Linked DNA regions of Caenorhabditis elegans. The protein of the gene in region 1 interacts with the protein of each later gene in a pairwise test. Each region holds a gene or a part of one and is shown in the gene's direction. Other genes may lie near its edges.

Evidence for each region.
Region 2: the proteins of F28H1.1 (region 1) and kin-4 interact in a two-hybrid assay, tested with the Caenorhabditis elegans proteins (2 studies listed by BioGRID).

The regions. Positions count from the first base shown.
Region 1 is NC_003279.8:3,994,015-3,997,184, forward strand, and holds F28H1.1 (uncharacterized protein), read left to right. Parts: upstream 1-1,710; coding exon 1,711-2,388; downstream 2,389-3,170.
Region 2 is NC_003282.8:11,424,089-11,429,043, forward strand, and holds the start of kin-4 (non-specific serine/threonine protein kinase), read left to right. Parts: upstream 1-1,653; coding exon 1,654-1,712; intron 1,713-2,045; exon of another isoform or gene 2,046-2,066; intron 2,067-4,901; exon of another isoform or gene 4,902-4,955. Other genes in the region: F22B3.8 (Tyrosine-protein kinase), read right to left, coding at 1-45, 193-416, 464-609, 792-797.

The DNA.
Region 1 (3,170 bases):
CTTTGTTTTTCAATTTTAAGATAACATCCAAAATTTTGAAACGTTTCGTTTACAAATAAATTTTTCTTAAACTTTGTTCCAGGGCTTTTGTGGCAATTAGGTTCGTTTCTAACCATATGTGCCTGCCGTAGGCCTGCCTGCATGTCAAACTGTTTGTTAATCAATTTGCAAAAAATTAAAAATAGCCAGTAATGAATGATGTAGGCATCAGGCAAGTGCAGGTCCCGTTAAGGAACGCAGGCATAGTTGTGCCTACGTGGAAGACATAAAACCAGGTGTAAAAAAACAAATGAAGTTTTATAAAAAATTAAAATTAGCAATATTTTACGAACTGTAATTCGCAAAACAAATATCTCAGGGAGCTACATTTTTTTCAAATTTAACTGCACGGGTTTTCGTTTTTTCAGAAATTTCAGGTGCATTTCCCGACTACTTCAAAACCTCTAATTCCAGTTAAAATTCCAGCCATCACAAACAGGGTCCCAGTGACCGTCTATTTCCCACTGCTGCAATCACCTCAACCCCCTAATCATAAAATGTCACATTCCACTTGACATTTATCTGCGTCTCCATCTCGCCAATTATATTTCTCCTCCCACCACTCTCTATCTGTTTCAGAGATTGTTGTTGTGTATGTGGGGGAAGAGTGAGAGAGAGTGCAAGTGACGCAGGCCAAATGAGCACACAACAGGCGATAAGTAGGCGGGGCCAGAGGAAGCAGGTAATGCGCATAAAGGGGAAGAAGAAGAAGATGGTGTGTGTGCAGGTCAGGTTGCCTCAGCAGCAGGAGACCTACTCTTATCTCGCTCTTTGTCATCTTCTTCAGTAGCTCTCCCCGTTCTTGCGTAATTTCTTCCTTGACCTCTCTTCTTTTATCCTGATATTATACTATTACGTTACGTTTTTTAAAAACTACTTTCATCTTCAAATTCTATTAAATACAAATTATTCTATAATAATAAAATTAAACAATATTCTTTAAAAGTTTTGATGCTTCCCATTGATCTAGCAACCTCCTTGGTTTCATAATAATTCAAATAATTTTTAATTGCGTCATAACATTGCTCAGGGTTACGTCCAGATTCTTTTCATTATATTTTTTGAAGAGATTTTCTAGGCACCCTAGGTACTCACTAGAGTTCTCGAGCTCCTGGTTAAATTTACATTTGTTCATCTGTTGATCTGTGACAAAATTTCACGTGAATGCTGTTGAGCTCTTCTTGTTCCTAATAGTCTTTTTATGACTGTCATGATAGGTAGGTTCGCCTTCATGCCTGCCTGCCTGCCTATCTGCATTTCAGCATTTGGCCTATGATCATGTCTATATGCATGCCTCCTTCCCATCCACTTGCCTGCCTCATGCCTACCTTCTTGTCTACCCTCACAGTTCTTTAATTTCGGTCGGAAATGTTTAGAAATTCTTGCATTATTTGGCTGGATTTTTTCCGCTCGGAATTACACACTTCGTCTTGCCACATAATGTATAAATATTATCGATCGAAATAACATGAAATACCGATCAATAACACTGAATATACATTCTTTATTGCTATCTCCATTAGGCAATCTCTTGCAACATTTCTGAAACTAAATTTCTCAATTCAATTTCTTCATTGTTCTACGGAGTTATTTTCAACGTTTCAATCTTTTATCTTTCCTTTTCAAAATTTTCCTCAACTTCTGAATTATTCCAGATCCCCAGTCCATCAAATGGCTCATCGAATGCATATTGGCCAATTCACGAGACAATATCCAGCGGAGACAGCCTTCAAAGTCCAGTCAAACCCATGGAAGAACTCTCCAGAACCATTTCTTCCAATGAGCACCCAACAGCCAAAGTCTTGGGCAGATGTTGGAAAGGTTGCAGGACCCCCAAGAAACTACCATCATCCATATGAAGTCAAACCATTTGAGGCGATTGATGAGAAGAATGATGTGTTCAGTACTATGGGTCATTGGAATTCTGAGCAGAAGCAGAGTCGACAACAGCATCAGCAATACCAGCAGAACCAGTATCAAGCCCGTCAACATCAGTACTATCAGAACCCACCTCCATTCTACCAACCGGAGCAGCCTGTGCACTATCAATCTGCTCAGCAGGATGTCTTTGATAACATTGGCGAATGGGACAATAGCACTCCAATCCCATCGCAAATTTCTCCACTTCAACTGGATCTTACCTTGACCACTCCACTTCCAACCTTCCAACCATATCCATCAACTCGTTCATATTCCTTGGAGTCTCCAACCACATCGGTCACTTCAAATGAGGAGAAGAACAGCTGGAAGACGATCGAATTAATCCTCAACCAAAAGTCGAGCCGTTCGCCATCTATCACCGAACGTCTCAGCCCGGTGGACTTTGGACCATGGACCTCAAACTTGTAAATTCTGAACAATATCCCGATCTCCTTTCCTTTACTACTCGGTTACTATACACAAACGGCTTATTTTCATTCTCTCAAATTTTGATAGTCACATACCTAATTATGTTACGGCTTCTGAAACTGTTTCAGGTGATTTAATTCCCATTGCATTCCTCTTTCCAAAAGATATTTGCAACTTCTTATCCTTTTATCCTTTTAATCAGAAATACGGTTTCTCATTGTGATTCTTTAATCCTTATCGTGGCTTTTGCAATATCAAACCAAAATCTCTAAGTCTCCCTGTTACATGTCCCATCCGATCTTCTCGTATATGCTCCTAGTTATAATCCTTTTTTAATCACAAAACATTAATAATCCGTACTACGGTTGAAACTTTGCACTTCCCATAATCCATCGATTCCATTCAAAAATGCGGTCTCCGTCCGATTTCTTGCTTTTTCTTTTCTTCTCATGTTTGCATCTTCATGTGATTTCACCGATGTGTTCACCTACTTTTCTGGTTAATTTTTTAAAATGAATAACACCTCTTTAATAAATATCTGGTAATTTATAAAATGTTTTGCTATTTTTTGTAAATTATCATTACTATATATAAAGCGCTATTCCGTTTGTCTCTGACGTCACGGGTGACGTCACAACATTCAGCGCAAAAATTTAATAGAGAAAATTTTGAGGCTACTTATGATGAATGCGCACCCGACATCGATCGAGGTACGCGATAAACCACTCGACACTTTCCGAAAACATTTTGGCGGGAATTCAAATTTTAATTTATTGAAATCA
Region 2 (4,955 bases), on another chromosome or scaffold:
CCTCCAGATCCCCATAGAAACTTCGTGTGGTGCCGGTTTTTTGTGCTGAATAGGGAACATAATTGTAAAATCTAGAGTTTTTCAACGAACAGTGAGGGCAAGTTCCCCGCAACAGCTTGACAACTTATGAGAAGTTCATTGAATAAGTTTCCAAGCTGCTAGGAAGTTAAAAAAACAAAAAATAAAACAAACTGATATTGACGGACAGAACAAGAATGACACGAGTCAGTGGAATCGGATCAGTGGCACTTTTGTCCGGAGTCGTCGGCTTCTTCGCATTCTTCTCTGGTTGATGCGACAATCTCAGGAGAAAGTCTCCGTTCGTCTTCAACAAGATCAGTTGTAGCTCTTGGAGCACAAAACCATGGAAAAATTGGTATCTCAATAAATAATTGTCAATCATTTCATTAGTTACTCTGGAAATTAAAAAGTGTTTTGGGATATTTGGGATAAAGTTGCTCACCTTCCAACGCTTTTAGTTTTTTCTACATTTTGATACATTGAGTCGTCCGGAAAATTGATCATAACTGAGTTTGAAATACTGCTGCCATCTGTTGTCCTTTCAGTCTTTTCGGTCGTTTCACTCTTACATTCTTTTTTCTCAGATTTCTGAAAATTGAAAATTACATTTTACTATACCAGGAATACCGAATTTGTCTTTTTTTTAAATAATCATACTACAGGCGACCCATTGCAGGAAACTTATTCTAGAATTTCTGATGTCTTATTTTATTTTCAGGTAGACGCGTAGCCAGGTACAGGCAGGCTCGAACTCCCGCACTCCAACTCACCTTCATTGCAAAAATTTTACGACGATTTTGAGTAAAATTATATTGGGAAATAAATAAGTTTGCCTCGTCGTATTTGTTTTTTTTTTCAATTTTTTTCACGGGAGTTTATGTATTTAAACATACAGACAGTGATACAACTCAAATTCAGAAAACTTCCAGGAATCAAACTTCATCTGAAGGATTAACGGTTAAACCAAATTTTCCTGACAACAAAGTGCAAAGTCACTGCTCGACAGTTAGGAACAACTTCCTACTCCTGCCATAATTTAGCATCTTCCTATCAAACCTTTCATCAGCGGCAAGCAGGCAGGCGAGCACGTCTGAAAAATTCATGTCTACTATCGAACCCCTTAGAAAATATATTCATTTTTTGCAATTCACAGGATGTCAAAATATTGAAAATTGTTGCTTATAGAGTGGAAAAAAGGAGATTATTATAATAGCTGGTCTCAAATGTCAACGGCAGAAGTATTTAACTAGATTAATATTTTCAAGTTTCATGTTTTCGGATATGTCACCATTCACCATACACTTTACCATTATCTAAATCTAGAAATGTTACAGTAATCCATGAGCACACAAAATCAGAAAACGAAGAGCAACCTTGTGATGAGCTGGAAAAAGGGGATTAGTAGAGGTGAATGTTGAGAACAGGAAAGAAAGAGAGAGTGAGAGGATCAGAAATACTTTCAATTTATTTATAATTTTATTCACATCACAAATCTCTCTCCACTCAACTGCCCATAGTGATTGATAAGCTCCGGCGTTTCGCCTACTCAACGTTTCCCTCCAAAAACTCCAATCTAACTTTTTATTTTTGTTTCTAGCCAATCTTTTTTTTTTTCTATAGTTTCAGAATCAAATGCTCAATTTTGGAGTCGTTATGTATCAAAAGAAGAGCCCAAGTAATGCAACAGAAAAGTGAGTTCTGAGTGTATCTTACCAAACCGAAAAAAGTAAAAATGCAACCTATAAAACAAGATATTATCTCTCTCATTGCAATAGAAATCTCCCCCTAAAAAAAATCTCTTTGCACATGTCTCTGTCAGTTCTTTTTATGTTTTGCGTGCATAGAATTGCCGATTGTCGGATGATTTTCTTCTTCGTTCGATGAAAGCGGAAATAATAGAGAACAGCGTTTTATTGTGGTTTTTTGTTTTTTCGTGTCAAAGTTTCTGTAAAAGTCATGATGGTAGAATTTGTTCTAACTGTTTTATTCTTTTATTTTTAACTTTCAATTTAATTATAAATCAATTGCATATTATTGTCCATGTAATTAAGCTTTTAAGTTATCAAGAATAAGTTGAAAATTTTATTTGCAAATATTTTTTATGTCGAATTTCGATGCAGATAATGTTTTTTTTTTCCAAAACCGCTAAAATTATTTCAATATTCTTTATTTTTTTTCTATAGTTAAAGAAAAATTTTTTTAGAAAATTAACAAAAAAACTAAAAAATTACCAAAAGTTGTTCATTTTGATGAGAAAAAACATGAAATGTTTTCTCTGAAAAAAAAGGAAAATGGTCAAAATGTTAATATATTTTTGCAAAAATCGAATTGTTTTCGAAATATCTGAAAAACTAAAATTTTTCGGAAACGGTTTTTCTATAATACGCTTTGTATGCCAGGATACATTAAATAGAGAAAAATTGAGACAAAGTCCAATTACTGAAAGTGTAACATTTTTCTTTAAATTATGATCTAGGATAGTTTGTTAATGAAGCGATATTGCTTCTTGTATGCATACCTATGTATGTATGTCATTTCCGAAGTATTATAATATGTATCCTAATCAAGAACATGGATCATAAACATCTTTATTTTTATTATTTTATCTTTATTTTTCAACTCGATGTAAATTAAAAATCTTCACTAGTAGCCAGTAGCTCGACTTTGCAAATGCGTTCGTTTTAGATTTCGTCTTGTTTCCGATTGGCCCGGTTATTACGTAAGCACCTAAATTTTAATGTTATTGCATCTCATCACTACTTAAAAATGAGTCAAGTTTTTGAAATAGAAATACGAGCTTCATTGTGAAGATCACGATATTCTTTTTATTCGAATAAATCTGGTTGCATAGCTGTAGTACGTCAACGGACGAACCTGGATGAAATAGTGAATAAATATATTTTCTATAAAAAGGAGAAAATAAAAGAAATGTTATAGTTGACAGTTAATCCTTTGCATGGTGAATCTGTTGGCGGATGCCAGTTAATCTCCCTGTTTATCCGTATGCTCATATTTTTAAGTCGTCTTCAGTCGTTGTCGTTCTAAAAAATTTGGCCATCGATTGGCTCAGCTTCGTCTTTTTTGCCTCCTTTCACTTCTTCTTTTCTTGTCCGATTTCAGAAAAATTAAGATAATAAATTGCTTCAAATTTTGAAGTGCAATACACTTTCGCAGTCTAAATGCCTCTTGTTTTCTAAAAGTTATGCCAATTATTTATTCTTTAAAAATATTGGACTTACTGCCATGGAAGTCATATAGTTTCGCTACAAAAGTAGTACCTGTTCTGTGGTTTGGGTATTTTTCGAATTAAAATTTTTCCAAACTCAACTTTTTTGTGCAATTCTAAATGTATTTTTATGAGTATTCTTTTTTCTCCCTCTCCTATGTACATCCGCCAGCAGATGCTTGTTGAATTCTTATCGAAAGCTCTTTATCAGAACTTATTTTGAAAAAAATGTCAAGCATTCTCCGAGCATAGGTTTAAAATATTTCTGAAACACAGGTACATTTAACCAATCTCTCAGTTGAAAAGGTTACAATTTTCAGTATCAAATAAAAAAGTATAACACAATAATCTTTTGCACTTGACTCGCGTCATTTATCTGATCAACATGGCTTCATGCTCGGAGAATGTTCTTCTTTCTGCCAAAATGACTCACTGGAAATACTTTGAACATTATCAATGAAATTCAAAATAAAAATCAAAGAATAAGACTTTAAACTTTGAAAATTAGGACTTAAAAATTGTTGTAGAAATGCACCTAGCTCTTCAAATTTTGTTTGCCACTTTTTTACTGAAAATTGATGGCAACATACTTGAATTCTTTGATTTTTTCTCTACTAAAGGAAAACAAAAATCTTTGAAACTTTAAAATCAATGGTTTGTGTTAACTGAATTTGGTTCACCGATAGAACGATTGTTGTAAATCAAGGAGGTTAAAAAATTGAAATATCGATTAGTCATTGATTTTGAAAATTCAAAGCTTCCAGACAGAATGCCTCTTTGAAATACCCTTTGAACTATCAAGCTTCCTCCTCTTCCTCCTCTAAAAATAACGTGAATAAATTGTTCGAAGAGTATGGAATCATCTCATTTCCGATTCATATTCGTTTCCGCTATCAAACAATTTAACAATTTAATATGATATTCAGAGATGAATAAAATGCATTTTCTGCTCGAATGCCTTTTTTAGCTCGAATAAGTTTCTTCTTGCGTATCAGTTGGCAGGTGCAATGCTCAATTTTAATTTTAAGAAAAGTTTACATCAGCAAGCCCTACTTTCTCATTCTCTCCTTTTTAATTTTGTTTCTTTTGTTGTCTTGAAAGAAATTCAAACCCTTAAAGTATAAAATTGAATCAATTGGGTGTTCTTCTAATTGTCTCGTTCATTCAAATATCACTATGCATTAGGGAATGTCATATCAAATTGAATGATGAAAGTAGATTAGAAAGAGAAAAGAGAACATCCATTTAAGTATTCAAGTTAGCTTTTTGATTTTTCTAGATTTTTATGAACTAAAAATTGAGAATATTTACACTTGGCTGAGAACCACGGCGCGAGGAGATCGTTGAAGAGGCTGAAAGAAGCGACATCGCCCAAATATGAGGAGGAATGGCGTCTTCCGTTGAATTTTAGGAATTAGAATTTTTATGAGTATCATCAAGTTAGTTTTAACTTAAAGGTTCCGACAAAACCTTCAGATTATTCCAAGTTTTCTTTTGGATCCTTAGTAAATACAACCTGACATTTACAAAACGCCGAAACATATTCCCATTTTGTTTCGTAGTGTTCAACTTGTCAAAATGAAAATAAAAACATTCAAACAAGAAAAGCAGGAAATTGAGTTTCGATTTGACGAAGAAATGCGCTGTTTCTACTGCTACGACGACGACGACACGGCGATTTGAAATGGAAATATGTGTAGATGCACAG